Linked DNA regions of Drosophila melanogaster. The gene in region 1 interacts genetically with each later gene. Each region holds a gene or a part of one and is shown in the gene's direction. Other genes may lie near its edges.

Region 1 (6,646 bases):
AGCCGTCGCGGTCGCTGTTTGTCCTGAATTGCAGCAGCTCCTTGTGCGGCTGCAGACGCAGCGCCCAATTTACACGGTGAATCTGTTGAACAATGAAACAAATGGAAGTATGATCTTTATCTTATCTGGAAATGTAATCATTAAATTGATGATTCGAACCTCCAGAGGTGCACAGTATTGGCGTTGCTCGACTGTGGCCAAGTTGATGGCATTTACAATACTTTGGGCAGCCTTGAGAATGATGCCCGTATACCGGGAGTCGTTCAGCTGCAATGGCAGCCAATTGAGGCAGGCACACCAGTGAGGCTCTATGTAGGCATCCGCACAGGATCGATTGCTCGGAATTGGATCCAACAGCGACATGGCACGTCCACGGGCTAACTCCGAGATGCGAATCCCAGGCGGGCTTGTTTCAGTTTTCGGATCGTTTATTTCTCCAAATTGATCCACAGCGGTTTGCAGTTCTGTGAAAAATCCAGCATTATTATCTTGTAGATGTCTAACGCTCTGTCGTACATACGTATTACGTGTTTCAGCGTGGCATGAATGTCGAATGGCGTGGTCAGGTGATGCTCGTTGGCCAGAAAGTTTTTGTACTCCTGCGGAAAGCGCTTCTTAAACGACTCGGGAAATACGAAACTGAAGAACGGCAGACGCTCTTCCTGTTTTCCCTGCAGAGTGGCTCGCACCTCGGCAAATCGATTGCCATGATCGGCCATCATGATGAGAATGGTGTCGTCTAGCAGCGATCGTTCCTTGAGCGCCACCAGCCAGTCATGGACATCATCATCCGCTGCTCCCACTAAGTTGATGGAGTCGTGGGACAAGCCGCCATGGAAGCTGAAGGCAAAGCGCGGTGCATCGCGATACTTAAGCATAAACTGTACGAAAATTATACAATGAGTTAGTTTCCAAGCACATTTCGAAAGAGAACATACGTTTTTTGTGTACTCCAGCATGGTGATGTGATCAGGCTGGTGGCCAATGCAGTTGGGCTTGCTCTCGGCGGCCATGTGCTCCGCCTGGACATAGTAGGTACGCAGGTAGTGGTCCACCGGCTGGGCCTCAAACCCTGTCATGCGGTACGTGAAAGTGCCCACATTGGGCAAATCCTCATTAAAGGAGGTCATATATCCCAGGCGGGCAAAATCCTTCCAAATCATAGGATACGAATCCACGCTGCCTGCCCCGGACAACCGCTTCCTTGTCTCCGGCAGCTCCAGTTCCGTGAAACCCGTCAGTAGGGGCACCAGCGCCTGTGGCGTACCATCGCCCACAATGTTATAGCCTTTGAGAACGGTGGCGCCCAACTGTTGGGTGAGATACTCGTAGGTCCTGGGCAGCTTGCGAATGAAGGCATTGCGACTCAGCGAATCGAAGCCAAACATGAGGACATTGTAGATGGGAGCTGTGGCCCCATCCTGCATCTGCTGCTGGGCCTGCGCAACCGCCTCGGGTGGTAGGACGGCCAAGTTCGGGGAGAAATTGGAGGCCGGTGGACGGGGCACCGTATCCCGTATTCCGTGGGCCATGCCAAACCAACTAAGTACATGAAGATCATTCTTTAAAGTATAGGCATAACTATAAAATAAGATAATGGTCACCTCTCGCCGCTGGAGGATCGACAGACCACCTTGACAAAGTCGCTGGCCTGCAGCACATAGGGCTCCTTCATGCGCAGTGACTGCCCAAAGCGAACCTTGTAGTCCGACTTGCGAATAATGTCCGTGTAGGAGCAGATCACATCCTCGTGGCTGGACGCAATCTCTGGTCGCACAAAGCAAATGGATTTCTTTGGGGGAAACGAGGTTTAAGTTAAGCAATCAGCTCTTGTAGAAGGGGCCCAGTCCCAACCAACCTCACACATGACCCAGTCCATGCCCTCGCCGCAGTTTATTCGCTCAACCGGCTTGTAGAACTTCATGATGTCCGGATTGTCCAGCGGCAGATGGGGATGCCGGCACTCGCCACGATTCACAGCCGATCTTATGGAGCGCTCGATGATTTCGCTTTAATTAAATACAAAATTGAATTAGTTGCAAAAGATAAATACTCTTTATCACAAATATGCGCATATGTACATATACATATGTATGGACAAACATCGTACAATCAATATCCCAAGCCGCTGTGACGCACAACTAGACATACTTACATTTTGAGGCTCTTATCCAGATCCCGCTCCACGTTCAACACATACCAGGTGACCAGCAGGACCACCACACAGCAACATGCTGCAATCTTGGGGACAGTTCCCCGCCGCACAAAGCGCATTTTGAATAAATTATGAGCTGCAAATATCGGACCAGACACATGAGACTTGCATTCGCATTATTGCTGCACATACAGCACTCACTCGGCACTCAAGCGACGTACTACTTACACCACTGCCGATCTCCAAACTTGCCGCCTATTCGACCTTTACTAAATATCCACGCTCATTTTTTAAATTAAACATTTAACTTATCACCAGCTGCGACGTACCGCTATATGCGAGTTGCCAAAACAGTGGCAAACAACATTGCGAATTCGGTCATACTGTGTTGTTTGGCAACGCGACCGCTGCAATTTAAACTGCGACTTTAAACTTTGCTTTAGGTCCGATTTAAAGTCGGTAGAACTTTCAGTTTGCTGTAGAACGAAATATACCGTTAGCTTATCGTTAATGATAGTGCTTTTTGCTATCAAAACACCATGTGATACAATCGAACTTAGGCGGGGATTAAATAATGGTAGATACTCCCTTAAATTTGCCGAGTACTTTACTTACACTCAGCATGTGACAAAGTAAATTCTATTAGTACCAAAGTTAAATAAGCCAACTGACAATTACTAAGAATAATAATTGGAAGAGAGATAAAGATCTGCTCCCACGATTATCTTCATATCTGATTTGGAGACTCGCCAAAAAGCTTGCGACAAAGCTCGCAGGCCGAGAACCGCGTCCGTCCGAAGATTCAGTTGTGCGCCAAGCTCAGCTTCGGCCTCTTCGTTTCACTCCGCTCCGCTGTGGCACCTGGTATCGTCCATATTATCGCGCCGTTTATTTTGATAACTGCTTCTGCGGTCGGTCTGTAATATTGTTTTTAGGCAAAACATTATCCGCAAACCACTGACGACGTCTTGAGAAAGGACTAACGAGGTCCGATTGCGCAACGAAAATGCTAAAGCCATCGATTATCTGCCTCTTTTTGGGCATTTTGGCGAAATCATCGGCGGGCCGTAAGTAAATAGAAGACTGCCAAGATGCTCATCTGCTGGACATGACTAGCTTAACGTATTTGTTTTTTTTTGCCGCGGGCCTTCACAAGTCGCTGGAAACCTGTTTCCGTACTTCCATAGCTAATGACCTAATTTATGTATTCACAATATTGGTAAGCTCTCTGAACCTAAAGTCTGGATTTCCAGAGTTCTACTTCCCCAACGAGGCGGCCCAGGTGCCCAACTATGGGCGCTGCATAACGCCGAATCGGGAGCGTGCGCTGTGCATCCATCTGGAGGACTGCAAGTACCTATACGGCCTGCTGACCACCACCCCGCTCCGGGACACGGACCGGCTTTACCTGAGTCGCAGCCAGTGCGGCTATACGAACGGCAAGGTGCTCATCTGCTGTCCGGACCGCTACAGGGAGAGCTCATCGGAGACGACGCCACCGCCCAAGCCCAATGTAACCAGCAACAGCCTTCTGCCGCTGCCAGGACAATGCGGCAACATCCTGTCCAATCGCATCTATGGCGGAATGAAGACCAAGATCGACGAGTTCCCCTGGATGGCTCTAATTGAATACACCAAAAGTAAGTAGAGGGGCATCGTCTTAAGTCTGAACGCACTTATCCACTGGTTAATTCCTACATGCAGGCCAGGGCAAAAAGGGTCACCATTGCGGCGGATCCTTGATCAGCACAAGATATGTGATCACAGCCTCGCATTGTGTCAACGGAAAGGCACTGCCCACCGACTGGCGGTTGTCCGGTGTTCGTTTGGGCGAATGGGACACCAACACTAATCCCGATTGCGAAGTAGATGTGCGCGGCATGAAGGACTGCGCGCCACCGCATCTGGACGTGCCCGTGGAGCGTACTATACCCCATCCCGACTATATACCGGCCTCCAAGAACCAGGTCAACGACATAGCCCTGCTGCGTCTGGCCCAGCAGGTGGAGTACACCGACTTTGTGCGACCCATTTGCCTGCCTCTGGACGTCAATCTGCGGTCGGCCACCTTCGACGGCATCACCATGGACGTGGCCGGCTGGGGCAAAACGGAGCAGCTGTCGGCCAGCAACCTCAAGCTGAAGGCAGCCGTGGAGGGATTCCGGATGGATGAGTGCCAGAACGTCTACAGCAGCCAGGACATTCTCCTCGAGGACACACAGATGTGTGCCGGCGGCAAGGAAGGCGTCGACTCCTGTCGCGGTGACTCCGGGGGACCGCTCATCGGCTTGGACACCAACAAGGTGAACACCTACTACTTCCTGGCCGGCGTCGTGTCATTTGGACCGACTCCGTGCGGTCTGGCCGGATGGCCAGGAGTTTACACGCTGGTGGGCAAGTACGTTGATTGGATACAAAACACTATTGAGTCCTGATTGTAAAATGTCATATTGTAAATAAATTCGACTAACGGTTTCCGTTTAAAAACTGCTTCACAGCGTGTACGCATACTGCATGTCGATGGGCGCGTTCGCCGAAATATTGGCATAGTCAATCTTTTATTTTGTAATGAAACTATTAAATTAAAATTGACAGTCATAATACTTTCAAAGGTACATTTTTTTTAATCAATTAAAAGGTAAATTGGGCAAATTATTTTGCTTTATTAAAATGTAAAGAAATAGTTGCAATAAAAAAACTAAATTCATAATCGTTTTCAAAGTCACTGAAAATTTTACTGCTGAACTCACGCAGATTAAATAATCATATCTGGCAACACTGCAAACTGGCTGAGTAGTCTGGCAACGCAGACATATTGGTGGTAAAAATGTTGAAGAACATCTACGTAACGCCGTTAAATTTGCTTAAATCGGCCACCAGCCTGCAGCAGCAAGTGCGGGTAAGTGCTCTCCTGGATTAGGGAAGCGATCCCCATTCACCACCAATTTGCTTCCAGACCACGTTCGTCCTGAAGCGCAAATATGACCCGCCGCTGCACAAAACCAACGAGAAACCCCGCCGGATGAGGGCCAAGAACTTCATCTACGAGCTCGTGGACGACACGCTGGTCAAAAAGCGGCCCAACATCGAGGTGGTGCTAAAGACCTTCGTCGAGGGCGTTGGCGACAAGGGCGACGTGGTGTCAATGAAGCCGCACTTTGTCTACAATAAGCTCCTGCTGCCGGGTTTGGCCGCGTACAATACGCCGGAGAATGTGGCCAAGTACGCCAAGACAGAGGCTGAAAAATCGACTGTTAAACACAGCTCCCCCTACGCCCAGCGCACGGTCAACATGCTGGAGACCATTGTGCTGGCGGTGGTCATGAACAAGGATGAGCCATGGGTGCTCGAGCCCTGGCACATCAAGGCCTCGCTGCGCAAGACTGGGTTCTATTGTCGCGAGGAGTGCATTACCCTGCCCAAGGAGCGCATCGAGGGACCCGACCTGAAGAAGGAGAACAAGGACTTCTACTGCACTGTGACCATAAACAAGCTGGAACAGGCGCGACTCAAGTGTCGTCTGCACCACTGGAGCACAGATCCCAGCGAACGGCTGCCTTACGTACTCGAGCACTGGAAACTCCAGTCTGAGCCCCTGCTGGATGTATGTTCACCCGAAAAAACCCCTTAGAGACCCCATACCAAATACATGCGATTGTTACAAAACTGTTGATTTATGAACAGCCGGAAAACAGAGTTTATTTAACATTTTTATCAAGTTGTACGACGTGGATACTTACTTAGGATTACAAGTCTATATGATGTTAATATAGTGCACTAATGCACAGCTTTCAGTTCCACTTCGAAGACGAGAGTGGAGTTCGGTCCGATCTTCGGTGGAGCTCCCCGTGCGCCGTACGCCATGTGCGGGGGGCAGGTAATGACTCGCTTGCCGCCCACCTTCATGCCGGCGACTCCCACGTCCCAGCCCTTGATGACCTCTCCGCCGCCCAGGGCGAACTTAAATGGTTTTCCCTTCAGGAGGCTGTCGAAGGTCTTGTTGTTCGACTGCAGGCGGCCGATGTAGTAAACAGATACGCGTTTGCCCTGCTTGGCTTCTTCGCCTTTGCCGACGACCTGATCCACAATCTTCACGCCTCCGGTGATAGTACGTGGATCCTTAGAAGCTGGTTGCTGCTTGGCTGGCTCCTTGGCCTTGGGTTGTTCCTTCTTGGCCTCTGGCTTCTCCTTCTTCTTTTGCTGCTGCTTGGCCTCCTCCTTCTTGGCCACACCGTTCTGCTCCTTGCCAGATTTCTTGGCGCTAGCGCCAGGAGAGAGCTTGGCAACCTTGGCCTTTGGCTGTTCCTCTTCAGCTTCGGAGTCGTCGCTGTCCTGTTCATCCTCCTCGCCACTCTCCTCGTTATCCTCATCAACATCGTCGTCATCTTCCTCCTCACCATTTTCGAGGAAGGACTCGTATTCCTCGATTATCTGGCTATCGTCATCAGTATCCTCCTCGTCCTCCTCGCCGCTCTCATTCTCATCCTCATC
Region 2 (7,443 bases), on another chromosome or scaffold:
ATGGGCTACTTCATGGAGGTGACCGACAGAATCTACCTAGGTCCACGTAGCCTCGTCGAGCTCAGTTTCTATTTGAGCTCGAACCACGCCGATAACATAAAAAACTGCACGCTGTGCAAGTGCCTGGTGTTGTGGGACATTCGCTGCGGGTCCTGCAACATCCAGTACCACCGCGGGTGCATCCAAACCTACTTGCAGAGACGCGATATTTGCCCCTCCTGCGGCAACCTATGGACAACTCCAATAAGACGCTCCATTGGTTAATCATTATGTCCGCGACATGTACTATAGATTTTGATACTAGAATAACAGTAGTCCGCTTTATTAACTAAATGATTTCAAGGTAGAAAATAAATAATTTAAAGCAACATCTTAACTTGAATTTTAAAACATCTTCATGTAAAGCATCGAGAAGTATAAACTCCACACTTTAAATGGCAAACATTAAAGAAGACCAAATGCACTCCTATCGAGTGTTCACTGTACTTGTAACTGTAAGTTTTTTTTGATCCGTTGCCAATTTAATATGGCGCTAGCAAAACAGAAATGTTTCAATGTTCGTCGAGATGAGTGTGTGTGACAGTCCCAATAAAAATTCCAAGCTGGACAAAAAGTCTCTGACGCCCTTCAAAAAGGTGCGGCGGAAAAACTGGAAACAGGAGGCGGCCTACAAGGTAAGATGATGGGCCTCAAAACAATTTGACCACCTAAACGTAGTTTTCTTTTCGCGCAGAGTGATACGAGCAAGGGGCAGGAGGTGTCCTATGTCGGCGAAAGATTCATACCCAACCGATTTGAGCGGGAGAACATCGAGTTCAACCTGAAGTACATTGGCAAGCGGAAGGAGCGAGATATCCTCGAAACGGTGTGTGCAGTACTTCTGGCTATATATACTTTCCATTATTAATTGAAAATGACTTTTACAATCAGGGTGTCACTTTGACCGCCAGCTACTGGCGACAGAGCGGCTTCATATCGAACATCAACCGAACCTTTGGCATCGGAGAGCGCCGCCTGTTTCAGTTTAGCAGCCAGCAGGGCACAAGATCCAGGGTGGTCGATAACGACTCCGCCGATTCGGACTGGCCATGTAATCCACGGGCGCGACCATATGCCATTCAGAATGCCACCCATGAGATGCCTGGCATATGCAGTCCCGTCGACTACAACATGATGGACTGGTCGTCCGGCGGCATGGTGGCCATGTCCTCCGGACAGGATGTCATGCTGTGGCGCAATCTGGACGAGAGCACCATGGTCTTCAGCGTCGAGTCGCCCACTTCCCTCAAGTACTCGCCGGATGGCAAGCACCTGGCAATCGGCTGCATGGATAGAAACTATCCAGGTATAACAGACCCTAAGCAATAACTTTGTAAAGCCCTAACCCTCCTCTTTCGTACAAGTTCTGGACCTCTGGGAGGTGAGGTCGCCTACGGAGTTCTTGGTCTCCTACCGCAAGCTGTTCTTCAAGTCCATGGGCTACATAAGTTGCATTGAGTGGTCCCACGACGGCAAAGAGGTCATCTGCGGCACTCAGTGCGGCGTCATCATCGTGCTGGCCATGCCCACGCTAAACACCCTGATGCAGTTGCGCGAGCATCGACACACGGTGAAGAAAATGAAGTTTGCTCCCACCCATAAGTATTTCGCATCCAGTGATACGGATGGCAAGATTTTCATCTTCGATGCGGTGCTAAAGGTTCGCCTGCTCAAGTTGGACGGCAGGTCCATAGTCTTTGACTGGCATCCGTGGACTGGAGAGGATTTAGCCGTTGGTAAGATAGTGGCAGATTAATTATTAGAGTATCTGCAACATGAATATTATCTTAACAGCGGAGCGAAGCCCTGCGTCGATCTTCATATTCAACATCCCGCGCCGACAATTTGTGGCTTCGTACAGGCGCAGGGATGACAGAATCGTTATAAAGACACTAACATACAGCAAAATCACGGGCGAGTTGCTGGTCAACGTTATTCGGCGTGGTGAGAACTGCACTGGATCCTTAATGCTTGCTAAAAATAATGTATTCTAATATCTACAGATGATGCGGACCTTGCAGTGTGCGAAATTCTGGTCTTGGCCTCCTTAAACCGCGTGGTTGACTTGATGTCCCATCAGGATCGCGGCACCCTCTTCCTGATGTGGAATCCGGATGGAACGAAAATTGCCACCGGCGGACTGGACGACACCTTTTCGCTGTGGAACTTCTTTCCCACCTATAAGCGCGAGGCGATATTGAGAAAGCAAGAGCAAAAGGCCAAGGACAAGTGCAGCTCCCTGAGCCTGTACAAAGGCATACGGTGAACAGAGCACAGTGATTTTTAATTGTTTATGTTTCTAGTCTTTTATTCAAACCATTTGTGCTTTTCATTATTTATTCAATTCATATTACTTTCATAAAAAATCCATTCTGTTTAACTCTAAAATGAACACAAGAAGATGGGCCTCTCCACCCAAAGTGAAGGTAAGAAAGTAAAAGTCCATTCATTGTTCACCATGTTACAGCGTTGAAATTTGGTAACTAATCACTAGGCTATAAGTATGTAAAGATGTCTATGACGGCACTGGCAGCCTTGGCTCAATATTCGCTCCGTTTGGGTCTTGACTCGCCAATCTGGGAGTGAACCTCCTGCTGGAAGAGGTACTCCGCACTGGCCTCGGCTTCCAGGCGTCGTTTCTCGAGAAGATAGGGTTTGATGACAAGGCGATGGGTGGTGTAGAATATAACAGTCGATCCAATACCGATGGCCATCAGACCAACCGTCGTTGTGGCGAATCTTTTGAAGCCGTTAATGAAACTCATCTGTGGGCGAGAACGGAATTCAATTAATATATGACTTTAGCCAGCAGATTAGGGTTTAGTGTGCGGGCTAACTTTGTGGTTCCACTAGTTTCAGTTACTGCTGGCGTTTCTGCCTCGGTTTTCTTCTCGTTTTTGTACTTCAAAATCAGCGGTTGCCAAATGTAAATACCGCCTAGCAGCCCAATGGCCGTGACCACCATCAATTGCGGAACAGTGACACCACGCGGACGACGAATTTGCATGGCACGTGCGGTTACTTTGGCTATTTATATTTATTTCTCATTAAATGCACAAGTTTCTTTCGCCGGCTGCTGTTACATCAACGCACCATGAGAATTTATTTCAGATCAGCTGTTTTGTTTAGCCGACACTTACCAACACTGAGTTCTATAATAGTTGTCAGCGTGGCCAGACTATCCCCGACACAACTTAAGCTTATTTGAAATTCAAATTTCTATTAATAGCTATTCATAAACTGGCTTGAGTATTTGCAGCGGGCGTGAAAGAAACTGTGACGTAGTTTAAGAATAATAACATTTGCAAACTTTCCTCTTTGATGACTATGCAATAATTCACAAATAGCTGAAGTGGGGAAAGCCTAATAAAGGCGGATATTGTTCGCAACTAATTTGTACAAAATAACAAAATAACATTCATAATGATGAATGATCCTTAAATATTTGTATAGGTTTTTTGGTTAATCCTGTCAATACAGGCATGGAAATTCTCTGAGTGCACTGATGCACTGTATAGTCTAGTCGTTTCCCTTCACTTCCCTCATCACTTAACCACACTCATCACTTTGCGATAATGACGTACGTATGCTTTGGGAGTCCCAACAAAAAAAACACACATGCGCTGCCCCGTCGACGCGGCAGCACAGCAGCAGAGGACGGCGTCAAGAGCGGCTTGAAGCTGGAGCTCGATTTTAAAATGGCCAGCCCGCTCGGCGCACCAGTCACTCTCAGTTGGAACGGCGCGTGAAACGGTTATCGCTCGCTCCACCGGCGCTCTCTCGCCGCTCGCCCCACCAAAGCCCGCATTTAACAGTTGTTTTGCTGCGAATAAGAGGCTGAAAGCAAAGACCCGAGGAAGATCGAGACGCAGAAGCTTAGGGAAGCACAGATGACAAAGATGGGCGGAAATTTGGCAGTGATGCTGCTGTCGCTGTTTTTGAGTGCGTTAGCCACGGGCAACGGCAACTCCATACCGACGACCACGACGCCCCAGGGCGTATTCGAAACCCGTACGGACAAGCTGCCCGGTGGCGCTGCCAGCGTGCCCAGTGGAGCGGGTATCTACGACGATATAGATACCTTTGTGCCCTTCCGGAGCGACTCGCACGATCCGTTCTCATGGCATCTACTGAAGACGGTGCTGCAGAACGAGACAGCCGACAAGAATGTGATCATCTCGCCGTTCTCCGTCAAACTGGTGCTGGCCCTGCTGGCTGAGGCGGCCGGAGCCGGAACCCAGACGCAAGTGGAGCTGGCCAACACGCAAACAGACATTCGATCGCAAAATAATGTGCGGGAGTTCTACCGCAAGACACTTAATTCCTTCAAGAAGGAGAACCAGCTCCACGAGACGCTCAGTGTGCGCACCAAGCTCTTCACGGACAGCTTCATCGAGACACAGCAGAAGTTCACGGCCACGCTGAAACACTTCTACGACAGCGAGGTGGAGGCGCTAGACTTCACCAATCCCGAGGCGGCGGCAGATGCCATCAACGCCTGGGCCGCCAACATCACGCAGGGCAGACTTCAGCAGCTAGTAGCCCCGGACAACGTGCGCAGCAGCGTAATGTTGCTGACCAATCTGATCTACTTCAACGGTCTGTGGCGGCGGCAGTTTGCCACCACATTCCAGGGATCCTTCTTCCGCAGCAAGGACGACCAGTCGCGGGCGGAGTTCATGGAGCAGACCGACTACTTCTACTACACCACCTCGGAGAAGCTGAAGGCGCAGATTCTGCGTCTGCCCTACAAGGGCAAGAACTCCCTGTTCGTCCTGCTGCCCTACGCCCTGAATGGCATCCATGACTTGGTCAAGAACCTGGAAAACGACGAGCTAAAGAGCGCTCAGTGGGCCATGGAGGAGGTGAAAGTGAAGGTGACGCTGCCCAAGTTCCATTTCGACTACCAGCAGAACCTTAAGGAGACGTTGCGCAGCCTGGGTGTGCGCGAAATCTTTGAGGACAGCGCCTCGCTGCCGGGATTAACCCGCGGCGCTGATGTCGCCGGCAAAGTAAAGGTGTCTAACATCCTGCAGAAGGCCGGCATTAATGTGAACGAGAAGGGAACGGAGGCCTACGCAGCCACCGTTGTGGAGATCGAAAACAAGTTCGGTGGCAGCACCGCCATCGAGGAATTCAACGTAAACCGGCCGTTTGTGTTCTTTATCGAGGAGGAGTCCACTGGTAACATACTGTTTGCCGGCAAAGTCCACTCACCCACCACCCAGAACTAAGCCTCTCAGGCGGTTTTATCTTTAAATACGCAATAAATATACAAACAAATGAGAGTCTCTGCGCTTCAGTTAACCTTAATATGATGTGAAAAGTGTTGCAAGTGGATAAGCTTTCTAATACATTTTGCTGAATCCTACAAACGAGAAACGAATCTGTGCTCTTGACCCCTTTTTCAGTAATCGTGCGTGGCGACGATTCCCCCAGCGAGTCGGTTCCCATCTACAGGCCACAACATTCCGCTGGCTGATAAAGCCACTGGTGCTGTCGTTAAATGTTTGTTTTTATATTTATGCCTCGCCCAGGCATGCCACGAACAATTGAAAGCAAAAGGCAGCAATCAAGTGAGAGATGCAAATACCTGCTAACTCTGGGAATGTCCCACGAACGTAACATCGGCAATATCCAATGGGGAGATCGATGGGTAACCGATTGCGCACATAGTCGACGGCAAATAGAACCCATGACTCAGGGGGCTGGCTGAGATGTTGTTCGACTGGGAAATCTTAAGTTTGCGTAGTTAGCCACGTTCTGGTGATCTCTTGAACAAACAAGGAAGCCAGCTAAGCTTGGGAATTTAAGCGCAGCTTAGAAACAAGTATATGATAAAGTTTGTTAGCTTAATACAATTCAATTGCTATTCATCAATGAAATCATTATAAAAGTCCTAATGTTTTCTAGGGCTAAACGATGTATTAACGAAAAGTGTAAACAAGGTCTATTAGTTTAAAAGAAAAAACATATATATATATATATATTAAGCTCGACTAAATGCCCTATCTCTCATGTTTTATTTATCTTTCTGATTCGAAACTCCAGCCAGCTCATCCTTGTAGAGGCGTTCAAGTGATAATCTGAATCAACAGCTTGTAAATATATCGCAGATGTGATCAAGTGCATTGCAAAGTGTGCAATGTTTGCAGTAACAAAAACCCGTTTACAGATAATACGTGAAAGTGGTCATCAAAGTGCATATTTGCTCTGCTTTCGAAAAATCAGCCTGAAAATTGACCGTCTGACTCAGACACATAAGCGAAATACCAAGAAGGGGAGGCCATTAGGCAGCTTATTAACTATAATATTACCGTAAATGATAACAACTCAGCACAAATGTAAAAATATAAATTTCCTCCCTTGGGTATTAACCCGACTTTTAGAACTATGACCATAACGCTGTCAAGAAACTACAAATCTAACTGTTATATGTGATGACTTTGCTTTCAAAGCACAAATGATAGGGTAAACTTAACGGAGAGTACCCACTGTACGATTGTATCATAATATAATAGATCTTCTAAATTAGGTACTAAAATGACTTACCCCCGCTGTTGGGCAGCATGGAAATAGCTGATTGAGCTTGCATTTGGGCCTTATTGAAGCTATTGACAGCTCCAGCGTTGTTCTGATGAAGCGAATTCAGCTGTTGGGGCTGCTGATGGGGATGTTGCTGCTGAGACTGTTGGTATTGCTGCTTGTACTGCGTGGCGAAGTGCGGCTGGTTGGACTCAAAAGATTGGAAGTTTTGGTTATCACCGAATCTCAAATTGGAATGATGCTTCTGCGGCTGTCCATTCATAGGATAACCAGAGGCGTGGTTATTGCCACCGCCAGAGATCAAGGCATGGAGCAAGGCATTCGAGTTGGCATCTGGTCGAGCCTGGCGTTGCTGGCCACGGTTTAGATATTGCTGCTGTGCCTGATGCTTGGCACCGCCATTGATAAGCTTCGAGGTCTGCTCCTCAATTTTTCGCTTCATTACGGCGTTTCGCATTATCACATTGGCATGCGCTTGCAAGTCCTCCTGCGACAGTTGGTGCGGCGCCTGCGTCTGTGGATTATGCTGCGGCTGCTGCCTGGCTGCAAGAGTCTGCTGGACAATGGCCAAGTTGTGGAGATTCTGCAACTGGCTGGCGATGACCGTGCTTGAGAGCATGTCCAGCTGCTGCTTGTGCTGCTGCTGCTGCTGCTGGGTGTTGGTGAACTGCAATACAGCAGTGATGGCCTCGCGATCCATGTCCGTCAAGCGTGGGTTGGCCAACTGCACCAGCAATCCGTGCTTGGATATTTCCCCTGGGAAGTAAACAAACCAAAGAATCATATTGAAAACATGGAACTAACTTTGTTTTCATCATCCAATCGTCACCTTTAGTCAGACGGAGCAGTAGCAATTGG
Region 3 (7,643 bases), on another chromosome or scaffold:
ACAATGTCGGCGCCGCAAGTTTTGCAACCGACATACATAAATAAAACTTAAGCATTCCACAAGCGGCAGCCACATTGAGTGTGATCCATGTGCTCGTTTCATCCTGTTGAGTGCGGCTTGGGTTTTTGGACGGGTTTGCGTTGGCTGATGCGGTTGGACATCAATTTCCTATTGTGGTAGGATTTCCGCTTTCAGATTGATATTTTGTGTTCGCCCGAATTCCCATTTGGCCCAAAGCGTGGTCAAGTACTACACCCACACACACACACACACACACGCACACAAAGAAAGCCAAACTTAGCCGGGGGCATCGCATTCAGACTCCTCGGGAACGCCATTCGTTATGCATATGATCAATTAAATACAGAACATTTAACAGCAGCCATTTTTGTGTGGTCCGAAATACGGAACTAGAATAGTTTACCGCCATTTACCGAAACATAAAAGGTCATGGCGAACAATGAATTTCCTATTTTACTACTTTTAATCAATGGGATAAGGGAAAATAATGCTTGTTCATTCGCAGCGCTGGAAGTTCAAAAACGTCTATTATAATTATTAAAATCAAATGATTTTTGGGCCACCGTAAACGTAATAAAACGTAATAATTATTTTTGCAAAATACAGAGCTGAATATTAAAATGTTTCCTTTATCTTTTTGCCAAATTTCCATAATGAAAGATACCTTGCCATTTCACAAATTCAAGATCATACAATACAAAATAGCCTGAAACCAAATCGCAGTACAATGAAATCGTGGAATTAAATAAAAAGCCGTCCTATATTCAAATTATACGCTATTTACCCTTTTGTTTCACCCCAGTAACCAAAGATAAAAGGTTACGAAAAAATTTCGTCATTGAACTGAATTATTTTGTTTACCAACCTAAAAGAATTCCGATACAAAAATTACAATATACAAATTAATGTCATATTTGAGAACAAAGGCGTAAAAATAATTAGTAACATCAAACGAACAATCATCAATCAAATTAAATAGATTCCCAGGAAAAAAAAACTCTTTTAATATCAAATAAAACAACATATTTCTGAAACCCTTTTCCACTCAAATTGAAGGTATGAATAATATTTCTTTTTTTTTGCGCCAGTTTTTCATTCAGACACCCGTTGCGGTTTCTTTTGTTCATTTTATGGAAATTAAAATTGATGATATTTAAATTTGGTGATAATTGAACATTATTTTTATGGCACTCACATTTGCGTTTTATTTCTTTTGCTGGCTTATTTGGTTGGAATGGTTCTGTTTAGATAGAAGAATAGAAGTATGTAGCAAACACACTTTTTTGAAACGATGTGTGGAATTTTTATGAGGCAGCTTGTAAATAATTTTTTTTTTTTCTTCAATTTTGTTACTTTCGTTTTTCAACTGGATTTCCCTGACTTTTCAACAGACCGGTCTGTTTGATCCGCACTGTGATCCTTTCACGCGCTCTGTTATTTTCCGACTGCAAGTGAAATTCCGACGGACGTTTTTCATTTGGCGCCAAAGTGTTCGGCACCACGAATTTCCCCTCCTTCCAGCTTCCAGTTTCGAACTGCTTTCGCACTGGAACTGGAAGGCCTTCTAGCCGGGCGAACATACACACGCACACGAACAATTTCCAATTGGGCGCCTGCGCCAATTGTAAACAAAGAACAGCTGTTCGAACATAGTACATATATTCGTTTTCATTGACGATGGAGCATAGTATAACACAGGGGGGGGGGGGTGCAGGGGGGTTAACTCTGAACATAAGGATGAGTGATGTGATTAGGGTGGTCACGCGTGCGGCTCTAATAAATATCAATGATTTGTGAAAATTCTTAAAAGAAACAAACCACATTTATTGAAAGTCGTTTAGGCCAAACATCGTATATCTTCCCATATGAATTTAAATTGAAGGGCGGCCGTTGGCGTTTTGGGGCTGGCAAATGAGGCTCAAGGCCACGCCTTTTACTTGTCACTTTGGCTGGGAATTCTCACAGCTGTCAGCCAAAATCCCATCCACTTGACATCGCCATCGCCAATGTTCTGCGATATGTTCTTCTTTTCTTCACATATGTACATATTTTCGCCAGCACTTAATTTCCTTTGAAGCCGCATTATTTCAGCCTTTCGACACCAGGCGTTACGAGGCGTTGCGGCTCGAACAGCTTTCGACTGGGCCCAAAGTGTCTGCCTTAAATGAATCGGAAACATTAATGGCTGTATCAAAGAATAGGACGCCTTCATTTAAACGTCTTCATTTAATTCATCGAATTTGCTATTTTTATGCATATGAATATTAAATTAAGTCGAAACATTACTATCATTGGAATGGATACGATTCTATGTGCAGTAATTAAAATGTGTTTCAACAGAGTACATATCTTAGAATCAAACTTCATCTATAATTTAGAATAATTTTTAAACCATGAATTAAATGTTTATCTTCGTTATTTTCGCTGCGAGTTGCAGCAGCTAGTTTATAAGGTTTGTGTGTTCGTCCCACCAAGTTTATGATTATTAAAATATATTATAATGACATGTTTATATTTTTAGCAACTCCTTATAATTAATTTATCAAATCGCCTAAATCAATGCTTTTCCACTGAAGCACCATGTTGTTTTTTGATATTGCATACATTTAGGCTTAGAAAAGTATTACCTTTTTATCAATTGTGTGGATAATCTTAAAAATGTAAATTAGCAAACTGATAAAACAGACAACCCAGGTATTATCACAGCGCAGGTAAGCCAAGTAAATAACGCTTATCATCTGGAGCTCCTGCTATTGGCATTTAAGCTTTGGACACACACACACACACACAATACTGATAAGGCGACTCTCTTAGCGAACTCTCTTCGCTGCTCTGTGAGTGGGAAAAGAAAAAAGGTAAACAGACAAGTTGAAAGGCGATTTTCGATTGAAACGAAACGGCTGGTCGAATTGAAAGCCACTTACGTCGCTCTTTGGCTCTCTCATTTGTGCGCCAAAAGAGAGCTCACTTTGGGTGTGCTCTTGGCGTTCGGGCTTTTGGCTTTGGCTTTGGCTTTTGGGGGCCTAACGGATTCTCGCTGGCTCTGTTTGTCCGTGAACGCCGACGTCGACGCACGCCTCTCGTTTTCGCGCGCTTCTCGCACTTCTCGGTAAATGCGCAAAAAAGCCAGCAACGAAATCAAATCAAGTCAAATCGCAACGCATGGTGAATAACATGTCCGTTTTATTAATAGATTCCGCAACAGCCATATAGCGCATATTTCGAAAGAGATATATAATATATATGAAATAAAGTGAGGCCCTCGGATGAAACAGTGTTGATAAGGAGTGTACATACATACACACACGCAGCACATAAAACTGAAAGAATTCGCGGCGCGCGCGATTTAGTTGCGAATATTGCGTATACGCAGGGTCTGTCAAAAGTAATACAAATCAAACAAAACCTACCACAACAAAAATAAGGAACGGCATATCAAACCGAACATTTCCGAATTGAGGTTTTTTTTACACAGCGAGCAGAGGATACGCCTACATGGATTTATATAGCACAATTACAGCAACCAAGGATACTGAGACTTGGGCAGGATAGCAGCGATGCCAGCCAGCGGGTTGCAATCTCCACCAGGTCGACAGGCAAGCGGCATATCAGGATAATACCAGGGACTTGGACATCATGGCTCCTCTATTTGTCTAGTTGGCAAATACCAGCGAACCGGGAACCAGGCCACACACACACACACCCATACACTCGCTTACACACACAAACACACACACACGCGCGCGCTCATACGCTCAGACAAACAAGGACGCTTGTCATTGTGTGCGTCAAGGACGTCGACACACGTACAAGCTTTGTTGCTGTTGTGCCATACAAACAGACCAGAACCAGTGTCGCAAGTGGGCGTGCCAGCGGGTAGGCGGCCTCTGATTAAATATACATCAGTCAAGCGCAAGGATCCTAATTTCCAGCAGTATTGTTCTGTGCAAAAGGACAACGGGACAGCGGACAGCGGACAGCGCCAAAACGGGACACCAACTTTGAAGCAGGGAAAATGGCGCGACGCAAGGGCAGCGGTCGAGGCAGTAAGTACATTTTCCTGTTAATTATTCAAATCAAGCGTGAGTTCGAAAATATGCCAGCGAAATTCCGGGAAATTGCCTCTTCTCAAGGATTTTAAGCTATTTTGCAAACGTTTCCATAAAGTGTTTACAAGGAAAAGGGACCCAATATCCACAATTTCTATGCTGACTTTTCTTTGGAATCTTTATATTTAGTGGTTCTATTATAAGATCGAACTTTGACTGCTTTGTTCTTGATAACAAATTCACTCCAAGTAGTTTGTTGATTATTAAAAGAACTCCAGCGGTCTTAAAAAAATTGGGCTTCAGCTCAAGGACGACGAGTTTCACAGCTGCCATATGGCAAGACAGTAAGTCCTTGCTTCAGAGCTTCAAAGAATCTCGTCAAGTGCAGTGATTTTTTCTTGGCGGCTCAAAGGGAAAAATATGTAATTAAGAATGTATGTAGTATTCAGCCACGCCCCCACTCGAAACCTCTGGCTGTATCTATAAGATATATATTTTTTTGCATTATTATTTGTGTGCCATGAGTGCTCCACTCGCAAGAGAGAGAGAGAGAGAGAGGGACGGGGCGAGAGCAAAGAGAGGGAGGGCATGCATAAAACATGAAACAACAGCGTCAGTAGTCACTTTTCATTGCATTGCGCCCACGCCCAACCACCCACAGTCCCCTTATCATTTTAATTCAGTTGCGTTGGCGCGCGCGCTGCAAAATGTTGGGGATTCCCTTACGTAATCCCCCAGCGCACACAAAAGGCAAACAAACAAACAGGCACACAAACAAACGCACACTCACAGGGCAGCGGCAAACAAAACAAAAACACAAACGAAATGGGCAAAAGAAAGGGGGAAAAACAGAGAGCTGAAATAAAGGAAAACAGAAAGCGGGTGAAAAGCAGAGAAGCTGAAAAACAGAAGAAAAAAAAAACGTAAAAACAGACGCAAACAAGGCAGCTTGTTTGCCAGCCAGTCGCAATCGGAATTGCCCCATGTAAAATGGTCTGAAAATCAAGCTCAGCCAGCGTCATGAACTTTTGGCGCAGCTCACCCGCTCAACAGGCAGCCTAGCTCACAGATACGCAGATACAAAGATACAGATACAAAAGGCGCACAGTCACAGATACTCGACTTGCACATCCACAATCGCTATAGCCGAGATACTTTGCGTCACGTCACGCCGCCTGTTAGTCAAGTTGCTCTGTGCGCTGCGTTACTCATGCCACAATTTGAACCTATTAAAAAGCCAGATACTTTCTTGTGCCCGCCCCAACCCGCGACATCCGCAGATACTTTTGCCAAATGAGATACAAGTGTGCTGCCTGGCTTTTGATATATGCCAAGTACTGCTCGCTGGGCGGATACAGTGCGCATTCCATCAGCTGCAGCTAAATGCTTTAAATGAATTTACTTTTCATTTCAAAACCAAACCGACTAGGCAACCAGTAATTGAATATATTCAATCCGATCAATCACTTTTTTTTTATTGAACTTGATTTAATTAATATGTCACAACGTGAGCGTTTTATTTCGCCTTTTGAAACAATAAACCAGTAATTAAATATAACATTCTTAAATAAATATATTAAAACTATTTTATAGCATTTTAAACCAATTATGCTGAAATGTTATAAATATTTATATTCGAAATATTATTGTTTTAATAACAATAATAACAACTTAACTTTTTAAACAATGTTGTTGAGACTTTAACTCAACCATTTTGTTTTGTAAACCATGACCAATTGAAAATACTTGGCAACTTGGAGAGAGATTATTTGAAATACTTCTTAAATATATTTCAAAATCATCAAACCTTTAACATGAAAGTCGTCCTTCCATGGAGTACCCACTGTAGCAGGCGCAACATGCTCAAAGAGTTTGGCTCCAACTTGACTTCCAGCTGCCGATGGGTTTTGGTTTTGGTATGCAGACGACTTTGGGTATGGGTTTGAGTATGGTTGGGGGAATGGGAATAGGAATGGGTATGGGTTTGGGTTTTGAGTTTGAGTTTGATCTTTGAGGTTGGGTAGCTGGGCCGAAACACTTAAGCTGGCTTTGGCTTTGTCTTTGTCTTTGACTTTGCCTTTGCGTTGCCAGCGAGTTGGCCGTAATCTCTTTTCGCCTTCGTCTAACGACGTCAAAATTAAAATAGACTTTGCTCAGGGTTCTCGGAACCGTACTCGCATTGCCTTTTGCCTTGGCTCTGGGCCATTGTGCGGATAATTTATGGCGGGGGACTAGAGACCAGGGAATGGAAATGGAAATGGAAATGGAGTTGGGTGAGGAAATCCCACCCACTCCCTGCGGCTGGCATTTCCCCGCACTTTTATTTGAGAGTATTTTCATTCCATCGCTACCTTTGTTTCTGTTTCCCTTTGGCAACTTTGCTTGGCCCGTTCGCATTCCATTTTCCTTTTCGAATGAAAAAGAAAAGCCTTTAGTTTGCGTAGTTTTTGCCATTCAAGAGGGGTTGCTTTTCATTATGGCAGCCAGGAAGGAAGTGATGCAGGGCGTGGGCTTCGTGTTTGGAGTCCTCTCAAGTGCTAGCTAGTAACTGCCTATGTAGGTCTAGGTGTGGCCTAAACGAAGCCCATATCCATTTGATGATTGCTCTGATTCCGTTTGTAGCTCGGGATTAACTGGTTGGGTTAGAAGGGAAAGCTCTATTTGGCTTCAAATTGAAATCGTTTCAATAGATTGATTCCTTTGTGTTTAAAGATTATTATCCTTATTAATTATTAAATGATTCATGAACTTAACATTATAGCTTTTATGGTATAGTTATTTACTAACCTGGCTTAATCCAATACAATTTACAAAAATCAGGCAACAATCCCTAAACGAATACAATTTCCTGAGTCACAGTTTACCCAATCTGCCAAATTGGTTAGCCCCTTCTTTTTTGGGCCATATCATAGCCGTAAACAAACACTACACTTCAACTTTTCCTGGGACGCCTTTTAGGCCACGCCCAGAAAATTCTCTCTTCTGTCACCGCCCCCTCTCGACCACTAAAAAGGTCATGGCAGCGGGGAGGGCAACAAAAAGAACCAAAAAATTACAAAAAAACGGGAAGGAAAACAAGGAAAGCAGCGAAAATAAAAAGGGAAATAAATAAACGTGAACTGAAATCCAGGGCCCAACTTTACCTATGAGTTTGAGCAAAAATAAAACCCCATACCTGTAGCAAAAGGACCTGGCACACCGAACGAAAAACGTACATACTTACAAACAAACGTATGTATTTGCAGGGCAATGGCAAACAGCAAAAAAAAAATAAAAACAAGAAATTAAGGGAAAAGTTGGCAGCTGGCAAAAAAAAAGAAGGGAAAAACAAGGCAGAACTCATGTGCGTGTGTGTGTGTGTGTGTGAGTGTGCTGGCAAGCCTCTTCATCACCCAAATACATGCACACCACCCACACATTCAAGGCAAGTCTATGAAAGCGCAGGGCTTCCCCAAATGATAAAGTTTTATTTGCTTTTGCGGGCGCACATTGGATTCTTTTTTTTTTCAGCCACTGCTTTTTTCTTTTTTTTGTTTTTGTATATTTTGTGGGGCAGCTGGCAGCAGAGAAGCC
Region 4 (10,350 bases), on another chromosome or scaffold:
GGAGAACACGTTAATTTCCATTTGGCTTGCGTAGCCGACTCAAGTCGCCAACATGTGAGCCGTCGCAGGCCGGCTGTTGGGGAGCGTTGCACTAGCCGCTGGTGCCTCACATTCCACGACACGTGACCGCTCCGCCGATTGCCGGATAGCCGGGTGGTCGGATTGCCGGGTGGCGGGATTGCTGGATTGCCGATTGTCGAACGTGGAGCGTCCAGCGGCGAACGTCGAGTCAGCGCGCACGCCTCTTGCTGCGGAAAATATAAATAGCGCTGCTATAACTTGACTGCTGATGCAGTGGAATGGGGAGGGGTGGAGCAGGGGGTTTTCCACATCGCCTTTTCACGGGGTGCTAGCAGAATCCGAGACTACACAGTCGACGTCGACGTCGACGACGAAAGTGTTTCGTAACCGTTTTGGGCTAACTACAGCAATTCCTCCCTATACCCTATACCATATTCGAGTATGAGTGTGTCAAAACAAACCAAAAGATGAGTGTTGGCATCCCGGGGCAGAATGTTAGTATAGAAAACACTACACAAACCAGCACACCACAGCAAACAGAGTGGAGTGTGATAAGGGCCACATTACACATACATATTTGCATACTGATAATGGATGTGCCGCAGATTACGGGGTATCCCAGAGGGGTTGGTCGGGGGGGTCTGGCCCACCATCCCGACGGATCCGACTACGATTGGTCCGGACACGTGAATCGGGCGACTCACGTGGATATCGCGCAGTGATCGCGTAATTGAGATTTGCTCATGATCATGGAACTGGAAGCTGTGCAATTGAAACTGCCAAGTGTATAGCCAGATTACATAAGGTAACGATATTTAGTAGAAAATTGCTATGCCCCAGGAGGATAGGTCAGTTATAGGCTCGTACTTTAAAACACTAACATTATACAGTGGTCTACTGACTTAATGCAATATAGTTTTCTTAGTTCTATTATTAGCACTGATAAAGTGCACTTTATGTATTGCACTTTAATCAGTATTTATGTACATACATATGTATTTCATTTCATTTATTCTCCACTTTTCCGGTTTTCTGGCATTTGGTAATCGCCATCGAGAACTGTTTTTATGCGAATTCAATGGAATTTCTTCTTTCGATTCGATACTATTCACTGTTTGTTCCGCGTTAGTGTTTTACTGCCTGGTGAATAGGAAATTACGTAATATCTCCCGACCTTACTTTTTTACAACAACTCGTTGTTTGCCTAGTGTAGTACTTAAATAGCCGTCTTTGTCTTCCACTGCAACTAAGTTGATAGTCACCCCATCCATTCTGATAACCGTATCGCAGTGTTAAGCACTTAATTATGATTTATATAAGCTGTGAAGTGGTTTTGTAATAGCCAACCAGACAGTTTGGTGGCTGGGAAGTTATCGGCACGACCATATATTCCCCTTGTTAAACTATCCAAAGTTTCAAAGCCACGTGATCTGTCGATTTGTTCGTCGTACATTAAATAAATTGGTAATTGTATGCAGATTTAGACGAGTTCAATAGTTAGCTAGCACTGTTTACTGTTTACTCTACTCGAATTAGATTTTCTGGGAATTTATTCTGAACGCAAATATGTTTGTAGAGTGGGGAAACCCAAAAATTCACTGATTGGAACTTCAAATATACATATGTACGTATGTGTATGTACTTTAATGCTATACATTAAAATCAAATCAATAAGCTACATCTTAAGGCAAATACTTTTGCTTCCTTATCAATGTTCTTAAATTTTTAATTACCTTTCATAATGTTAATTAAATACGTAAGGAAATTTCCTCTAGTTATCCACTCTTACATGCAACTTAAAAAAGTGTCTTGCCTAAGCTTTTCATTCAAATCAGTTTTCCCAACTCCCCAGCCATTTGCATGTGTGCATTTGAATGCATTCTCGATTATTAATAATGTGCTGCTGGTTCTCTGAATATTTTGTGTAAGACGCTTGCGTCACCAACCCAACTGGCACACACACACAAGCATACTCACACGAACACATCGAACCCAAAAAGGGTAAAAAAAAATGAATACAACCAGTACCGAGAATCGGAATCAGAATGGGAATAAGAATCGCAATCGAAATCGGACTCACGCGGCCAAAGCACCTCAGTCACCTTACGTGTGTGTGCGTTCTTGTGTGTGTTTGAGCGTCAAGAGCGAACCCGCTGGCAAGAGCTACCCCACCCCCCGCAGCAGGCAATCACGTTCTAGTTTCGAATATGCAGCTCGAAACGATTTTGTTCTTGCCGAGATTGCCGCGCTGATTACTCAACAACAACGGCAATGTGATCGCTTGCAACGGGCATGCTGGTACATGTTCGAAGCGGCGATTGAGAAATTTCACTTTTACTGCATCGAACCGTTCGCAACATGTTGCGAGCGAACACGCTAGGTCGCGTGTATCGGATGCGTGTTGCCACAACGTGACCGCCGAGCAGCTCGTCGGAGAAATGCTTTTACAAATTCAATTGCGATTCAGCCTTCTTTCGAAGCGGTTCAGGCGCTCGCGATAAGTCTCTAGACTATACTACCAAACCATATAATATACAGCCGATCGGGTTCACAACCGCGATAAGCAAGTGAGAGCCGTCGGTCGAGCCGTTAAAAGCATTTCGGCCAAGTGCATCAAGCGCAGAAACGTCGCGTTAGCCAACTAAATCGGTCAAATTGGTTAAACCCCGAACTGCACAAGTGTTTGAAAAACAATTTTCAAAAGATTTGGATAATATCTGCAAGCGCACACAAAAACAATGCCAATTTGTTCGTTCTAACAACAAAACATTATGTCGATTGTCTGCACGCTGGAACAGAAAGTGAACTTTTTCAAAGCGGCTGCAACGACCAAAAATCTGTTGATACTCAAAAACAATACGGATACGAATTACATCAATAACTACAAGCAGGATAATCCCAGCAACAATAAATGTAGGTGTTCAAGTGCTACGAAAGTTATAACAAATAAATCAGTGTTACGAAAAGTTTAAAACTATGTGCTTCTTTGAGCAGCATTTTCGAACTTTCCACGTTTGATCTTGAAATCTGTTGAGAATTTGTGTGAAAACTGATGACAATCACAATATTTAAATATTTCTGCTCTTTTTGCGTAGTACAGTGGCAACTGTTAATCAGTTCTAGAATATTTACTAAACTTAGTCGGCTGAAAACAATAACACACGAAAGATTGAGACGCAAAACAAAATAGCCCGAAAAAGTGTGGGTGAATGGGGGGCTGAGTGGGGTGCGGTGGAATGACTGGCGAAGCTTAGTCATTTTGTTTTTGTGAATTTTGTCAAGATGCCGACTGCAGCGCTGCTCTCTGTGTTGCCCTCTCTGTTGCTCTCCCGTTTAGGGGTTGTCGGCAGAGTCTGGCCGCCAGAGCGCTTAAGTGTACGTGCATGTGTGTGTGTGTGTGTGTTTGTGTCTGCGAGCACATTGAACTGTAAATGCCAATTCGATGGTCATGGTGAGGGTGAGTGAGAAAGAAAGAGAGTGGGAGAAAGATGTCTAAGGGTACGGGAGCGGGGGCGCACTCACACACAGATGTGCAATGTGCGATTTCTTGTTTACATTCTAACACTTTGTCTGTGTGTGTGTGATTGTGCTGGTTCTTCGTCGCCTTTGTCGTCTAATTCTCGCTCCCTCTCTTTCTCGCTCCCACTCGCCGATTCTTGCATCATTCGGCGTAATCATTGTGTAAATGCCTGTGCTAAAAACGAAAGCAAACGGTAAAGCTATAGACGAGGGCAAGCAGCAAGGGCAAGGACCAACGAACAAAGAAAGTTCTGCATGTTTGTGTGTGCGTTGGGCCAGACAAGATCGCATTAGACATTTTGGGGACCCAACGAGTTTTGCGTTGAGTGGCGGACGCCTTGTCAATTTGTTAGCTTATCAAATGCTCAGCCTGATTAGTATTACTAAATATGTATATATTTTCTAAATGTCGCATATGTAGCTAGATAAGAACATTTGAAAGAAATGCCATAAATAGGTGATAAGTGATATTGTTTTGGTAGCAGGAAAGAGATATTCTTCGCAATCTTGGCTTTTAATTGGGGGCAAGGTCTTGTTTGTTTATTATTTTCGGGGCTGCAAAAAGTGTAGTCTGCTTCCAGGCGCAGGAAATGAGTGTTGTACAAATTGGTAGAACGCTTTAATTTGAATTCATAACAGAGAATAGTTGAAATAGTTTAAAAGATCTTAAAAGTGCTATACAATACTTTTTAAAGGTATAAATAAGTTTAGCAATATAATAAAATAAAATACGTCCCTTCTTAAGGAACTATGAATGTCAAAGAGACTAACCTCTCTATCTTTGCATTGCAGTTCCCCGCATCCAAGCTCAAAGCAACAACAGCCATCTGCAACACCAGCAGCAACTGCAGCAGAAACTAGCGCAGCTGCATCACTACAGCCAGCAGAAGCTGAGCGGCAGCGACTTTCCCTACGGGCCACGCCCCCCCACCGGAGGCAAAGAGGAGAAGCTGCTCCTGCTAGCGCCGCCGGGCAAACTCTATCCGGAGGCGTCTGTGTCCACAGCAATGCCCGAGGTCCTCAGCGGCACGCCCACCAACAGCCACAACAAAGCCAACATCGCCATGATGAACAACGTCCGGCTATCCAATATATCGCCGACTCTCTCGATGAACGGCAGCTCCAACGAGGCTTCTAACTGTAAGTGTCCGAGAATATAATGATGCAGTGGCTCTGATCATATCAATTATCTATCCATCTATAGTTCCAAAGCTTGAGAACTAATCCTATGCCCTTCTCTCCTTACAGTGCATCCGTTGTCCATGTACGGAGGATCCATAAGTCCGCAGTCAAATGACAGCGGCATGTCCGACAGTCTGGGCAAATATGTCCCGGGAAGCGGCTATGGAGATGGAATGATGGCCCAGTCGCCCTCACAGGGTGGCAATGGACCGCAGTCGGCGTTGACCGCCGCCCAGAAAGAGCTCTTCTCGCAGCGAAAGCAACGCGAATTCACCCCGGACAACAAGAAGGACGAGAGCTACTGGGATCGCCGGAGAAGGAACAACGAGGCGGCCAAGCGGAGTCGAGAGAAGAGGCGCTACAATGACATGGTTCTGGAGCAGCGCGTCATCGAGCTGACCAAAGAGAACCATGTGCTGAAGGCCCAGCTGGACGCCATACGCGACAAGTTCAACATCTCCGGCGAGAATCTGGTGAGCGTGGAGAAGATCCTCGCCTCGCTGCCCACCAGCGAACAGGTGCTGAGTAACACAAAGCGCGCCAAGATGAGCGGCAGTGGTGGCTCCTCCTCGGGCTCCTCGCCCTCGGGCAGTGGATCGGGCGAGGGATCGCCTCAAGGTGGCCACAATGGCTATCCGGTGGGTCCACCACTATCTCCACTGATCTACGGACCCAATGGCAATGCCCGGCCAGAGGCCACGGTTAAGAGTGTCCACCACATACATCATGCGGGTGTTGCGCCGCCACCAACGCACCTACAACAGTTGGTTGTGCCCCAGTCCCAGACACAGCATCTCTACCAGCCACAGCCGCAGCAGCATCAGCCGCATCAGCAGCAGCAGATTTCCCAGCCACCGCAGCAACAACAGCAGCAGCAGGAGCCAAGTCCCAGTGCCGGCTCCAGTTCGCCAGTCATCTCCGATCCGCACAACCGCCCGCCAAGCACCACCATTGCCAATCTCCAGGTGCAACTGCAGCAGGCACTAAACCGCAATGTCAGGCCCGAGGATCTGGACAGCTTGCGCAAGGTGGTGGCCGCCGGCGCTCTATACAATGCGGCAGCCGTGGTGGGAGCACCACCACCGCCACCATCTGCTGGTCTCTACGTGCCCGCTCCCAGCGCCTATAAGGATCACCTGGAAGCGGCTGCAGCCTGGAGCCACAATGTCGAGGCTGCTGTGAGCAGCAGTGCTGTGGATGCGGTCAGTAGCTCATCGGTGTCCGGCAGTGCGGCCAGTGTGCTGAATCTATCGCGTCGGGCCTGCTCACCCAGCTACGAGCACATGCTCTCCTCCACCACCTCCTCCACTCTTTCCTCGGCCTCCTCATCGGGAGCTGTTTCCGGCGATGATGAGCAGGAGCACGAACCAGCGCACATGGCTCCACTGCAGCTGCAGCGAAGCAGTCCGCAGCAGGGCAGCGATGCCAACAACTGTCTGCCCCTCAAGCTGCGCCACAAGTCCCATCTCGGCGACAAGGATGCGGCGGCCACGGCGCTACTCTCACTGCAGCACATCAAGCAGGAGCCCAACTGCAGTCGGGCATCGCCGCCGGCTTGGAACGATGGCGGCGACAATTCCAGCGACGAAAGGGACTCCGGCATCTCCATCGCCAGTGCGGAGTGGACGGCGCAGCTGCAGAGGAAGCTACTGGCGCCCAAGGAGGCCAATGTGGTAACCAGTGCCGAGCGCGATCAAATGCTCAAGTCGCAGCTGGAGCGCCTAGAGTCCGAGGTGGCCAGCATCAAGATGATCTTGGCGGAGTAAGCAAGCCCCTGTCCAAGCTGGACAGGATCACGACTAGGCGGATCAGGAGAGAGAGCGAAGAGACAGAGGCTCTGAAGGGATCAGAGTCGGGGGAGCAGAGCAGTAGATGGCAAAGCAGAGAGTTCCATGGCGCCAGTAGTTCTCCTGGACAAAGAAGTTGGTTTAAGCATATGTTAGTAGAGATGTCCAAAACCGAGTGATAACTATTAGATACCGATGCATGCATGTCTCCATCTCTATGTAGAACTCTAGGGCCAGGTCTGGACCACAAGGATTTGACACAAGACCCTGTGGCCCGAAACTGGCCAACACTTATCTGTGTGTATGTTTATCTATCCACTGTATTGAGTCTTGTAATCGTGAATGTTTAACTATATAGATCTCGTCAACTCGGAGCTAAAAAAAAATCCTTAGGGTCAGCCCAAAAGAATTTCTAATTTAACCTGTTTGTTGTATACACACAAGCTATTTGTTTGCATAGCTAGCTGGTGACCTGCGATGAGCATCGGGGTCACCAGCCACGTTATTGTTCTCTTATGCATCCCAAGTTTCCTTATGCACAGCGAAAGTGGAGAAGATAAAGAATTATTATGTTTGTAAGCAAACGTTACAAAGTATTTGCTGTTGTACATATTACACAATTAATTATATATACTATATAACTATACAGATATCTATATTCCTATCATGTACATAATTTTAGTTGCAAGCTAAGCTTATTTTATTTTATTTTATTTTACTTTGTATTGAGTACTATTATTATTATTATTATTATGTAGTGAAACAAACATATACATTACACTTAAGAAACGCGTGAAGCACATTCAAAACGTGAGAGATGAAAGAAATCTGAAAAGAATTGATGAATAAATTCTGCAATAAATAATTTTAAATATCCTCCTACCTTAATGTTTGTCGTTCGCCATTTATTTATGTTTTTTGCCGCTTCGGTCACCCGTGTGGCTCACAGCGCTTCAACTAAATGTTATCGAAGTTTATAAAACTTTAGAAACAAAACTAAAAAAGAACTCTAAGCCACACAAAAAACACACATTTTATTTGTAGACCATCTAGCTGAGTAGATCGATCGTTTGGTGTCGTAATTCGAGCATTCACTTTTAAAGCTGTATTACACTTTACAAATAATCGCAGTGGAGCACACAAGAAAATACATATGACTACTACTATATACATACAGCCCTATCTATATGCATATTAAAATAACTCGTTTGTGTTGATCAATGAAAATAAACTATTTATAATAATGAAACAAACCAGCAAAGGTCTTTTACTGCCAATTGTTTACTGCACTTCAATATTCGCCGGTTTGTTGGGTGTGAATCATACACAATTATTGTATATCAGCAAAGTGCAAGTTAATCTATTACACAGCTTTTTAAAAATATTACATCACCATCATCGCACGAGCTTATCGCATATTGCAGAATGAGTTAGTTGAAAACCTGAAAACTTTCCAAAATGATTTCAAACTTCAGGTACGTCGAGTGGTAAAGAGATTATTTATTCTTAATAACTTTGTTGCCTTGTATTCATACAACGAAAAAAAGTTTTGAAAATTTAAATTTATTTAGAATAATATCGTGTTACTTTTCGATTCTCTGTTATCATTATCATTCGAAATACAGTATAAGTATAATAATTAAATATTCTCTGTCTTTATAATAAATCCTTAAACATCACATGAAAAGTTTTTCTGTTGGGTTTTTGCCTTTGTTTTTATAAGTTCTAAACACTTTCCTTTCGTTCTTTGGTATCATTTTCATAATTTTTTCATATCGGGAAATCGAATATTTTCCGCTTGTTTCGTTAGCCTAGGAAAAACGTATCTAGAGTCCACAAAAGTTATAGACTTAGATCAAGACCTGTTTATAAATTTCGTTAATATATAGGTATATATAATAACTTAACAATAGTAAGTACCATATGTTGTGGTTTTTGAGGGTTTTGGTATCTGGGGATTCGGTTGTAAATACGTGTAAATACAGAATTTCATTTGGTGTAAGACGATTTCTCACTTTCTGGTTGTATAAACTCTCCAGCCTTGCCTTGAAGATTAGCATTCGCGATATAGGTAAAGAGGTCTGTATATATCGTTTAACTATAATATCTATATATATATAATATATCGCTTTTCTTGTGGGTGTGTGTTTTCGTTTGGTTTGAGAGTGCATCTGTAAATTGTAGGTACTTATAAACTAGCTACAACACAACACACATGCCACGCCATGTAAAATTGTAGGGTATCCTGTCCGAATTTTTGGTGGCTGAAAAAATCCATCAAAATGCTAAATCTTCTAACTAAGTTTCCTTTCGAATCGTTACATCGTTTGCTTTCTTTTTTTGGCATTATCTAAGAGAGGTCAAGAGTGTTTTTTTTTTTGGTTTTTCGTTTTTGGAAAACGTTGATTTGGCCATAAACTTTTTGGTAGATTTGTTAGCTTCGGTTGGGTTCTGTTTTCATCGTGTGAGAGTGTTTCCTTTGTCTGTGGTCTGAGTTTTCGTGTAAAAAGGTACATGATAAGATTGTTTCACGACTGATCGATCCCAAACTCCTTGACACCACTGCACCTACGTCGCCTGACCCTGGGTGGACTGGCCAGCCAGGCCAGAGGATATCGATGGTGTCGTACTGGTGGATGCGACTGCCGGCCCTCCGGATGCGGCAGTGCTCTGCTCCAGACTCCACGGATGCACCATATCGTAGTACCTGCGATAGTCGTAGTCAAAGAGCTCGAAATCGATGCGATATATCTTGAGCAATTGGTCCAACGTTGAGCGGTCGAGATCGGCGAAGTATCGCTCGACCAGGGCCTCGGATTTAACGCCACTTCGCGCCTGGTTGCCAATTTTGCGCTGCTTCCGCTGCGGCAGCTTGCCCAGTCCCAGGAGCAGCGATTCCAGGCCCGCCTGCCGTATGATGAACTCCGAGTCCCTCTGGAACGTCTCCGTCTTGCCGATGATGGTGAAGTTAACGCTGCAGGGCGTGCAGAAGCTGTAAACTGGTGCCCAGTGCTCGTCGAATCTCTTGCCCGCCGCATGCTCGGCGATCAGGAAGCGGACGAACTCCTCGAAGGTGGGTCCACATCGCGGCCAGGGTCCGCCCAGATTACGCTTCCTGTAGCGATGCACGATCTTGTTGCCCAGCGCCTTGTAGAAGGTGTTCTTGTTGCCCTCCAGTTTGTTGCGATAGGCGCTCAGGATTCGCTCGAAGGGATCGCGCACAAAGAGAAAGGACAGCGCACTGGGCAGCAGCTCCATCAGTTCGCCCAGTTCCGGGCGTGGAAAACGCTTTCTGGCCAGCTCCAGTGGCTGCGTCTCCGTGCGCTGCAGATACTTCACATCGTAGCCAGCTGGAAAGCCATAGTGAAATTTTAAAGAATATTCTTAAGACTTAAATAAATATCCTAACTTGAAGAGGAATATTGAGGAAGATATTTGTAATACCAAATCAATTAAAATCTATCTTTATCGGGTAATAATATAATAAAATGGAATATATATCTCTATATTTTTCAATTCAAGCTTACCTAATATATTAAAGTAATACATCCACGTACTGCTGGCCGCCTTGAAGACGTTGCACCTAAAAGTTAACCAAAAATGTTAATAAAATATAAATAAAATAGAGATGGGATGACCCACTAACCAGACGAGATTGTTGTGGCCAGGCGAGACGAAGAACTCCCAGGGATTCGGTGGGTACTTTTCCTGCAGCTTATACCGATCGCAGACGGCGGCCAGATGCTCGCTCCTCCTCTGCAGCTCCCGCTCCGTGCGACTGTGCAGCTCCTCGGAGTACTCATACACGGGATTCAGGGTGGTAGCCGGCGGCGGCGGCGGA

Evidence for each region.
Region 2: of ea (region 1) and Spn27A, changing one suppresses a phenotype caused by changing the other (phenotypic suppression), as found in Drosophila melanogaster (one study listed by BioGRID).
Region 3: of ea (region 1) and shn, changing one enhances a phenotype caused by changing the other (phenotypic enhancement), as found in Drosophila melanogaster (one study listed by BioGRID).
Region 4: of ea (region 1) and vri, changing one enhances a phenotype caused by changing the other (phenotypic enhancement), as found in Drosophila melanogaster (one study listed by BioGRID).

The regions. Positions count from the first base shown.
Region 1 is NT_033777.3:15,325,772-15,332,417, forward strand, and holds ea (easter), read left to right. Parts: upstream 1-2,957; 5' UTR 2,958-3,161; coding exon 3,162-3,222; intron 3,223-3,311; exon of another isoform or gene 3,312-3,408; coding exon 3,409-3,795; intron 3,796-3,859; coding exon 3,860-4,590; 3' UTR 4,591-4,637; downstream 4,638-6,646. Other genes in the region: CG6236 (uncharacterized protein), read right to left, coding at 1-82, 160-464, 521-881, 939-1,542, 1,605-1,792, 1,859-2,009, 2,156-2,274; mRpL9 (mitochondrial ribosomal protein L9), read left to right, coding at 4,983-5,054, 5,112-5,786; Fkbp39 (FK506-binding protein 39kD), read right to left, coding at 5,933-6,646. UniProt on the Drosophila melanogaster protein: Component of the extracellular signaling pathway that establishes the dorsal-ventral pathway of the embryo.
Region 2 is NT_033779.5:6,669,662-6,677,104, reverse strand, and holds Spn27A (serpin 27A), read left to right. Parts: upstream 1-3,757; 5' UTR 3,758-3,929; coding exon 3,930-5,273; 3' UTR 5,274-6,040; downstream 6,041-7,443. Other genes in the region: Nse1 (Non-SMC element 1), read left to right, coding at 1-264; cort (cortex), read left to right, coding at 555-674, 734-865, 931-1,345, 1,404-1,775, 1,834-1,983, 2,043-2,305; CG34310 (uncharacterized protein), read right to left, coding at 2,580-2,799, 2,877-3,046; cup, read right to left, coding at 2,791-2,804, 6,592-7,341, 7,415-7,443.
Region 3 is NT_033778.4:11,170,739-11,178,381, forward strand, and holds the start of shn (schnurri), read left to right. Parts: upstream 1-3,064; 5' UTR 3,065-4,036; coding exon 4,037-4,067; intron 4,068-7,643.
Region 4 is NT_033779.5:5,303,233-5,313,582, forward strand, and holds vri (vrille), read left to right. Parts: upstream 1-2,417; 5' UTR 2,418-2,792; coding exon 2,793-2,934; intron 2,935-4,332; coding exon 4,333-4,680; intron 4,681-4,788; coding exon 4,789-6,488; 3' UTR 6,489-7,991; downstream 7,992-10,350. Other genes in the region: CG14024 (uncharacterized protein), read right to left, coding at 9,078-9,859, 10,037-10,092, 10,156-10,350.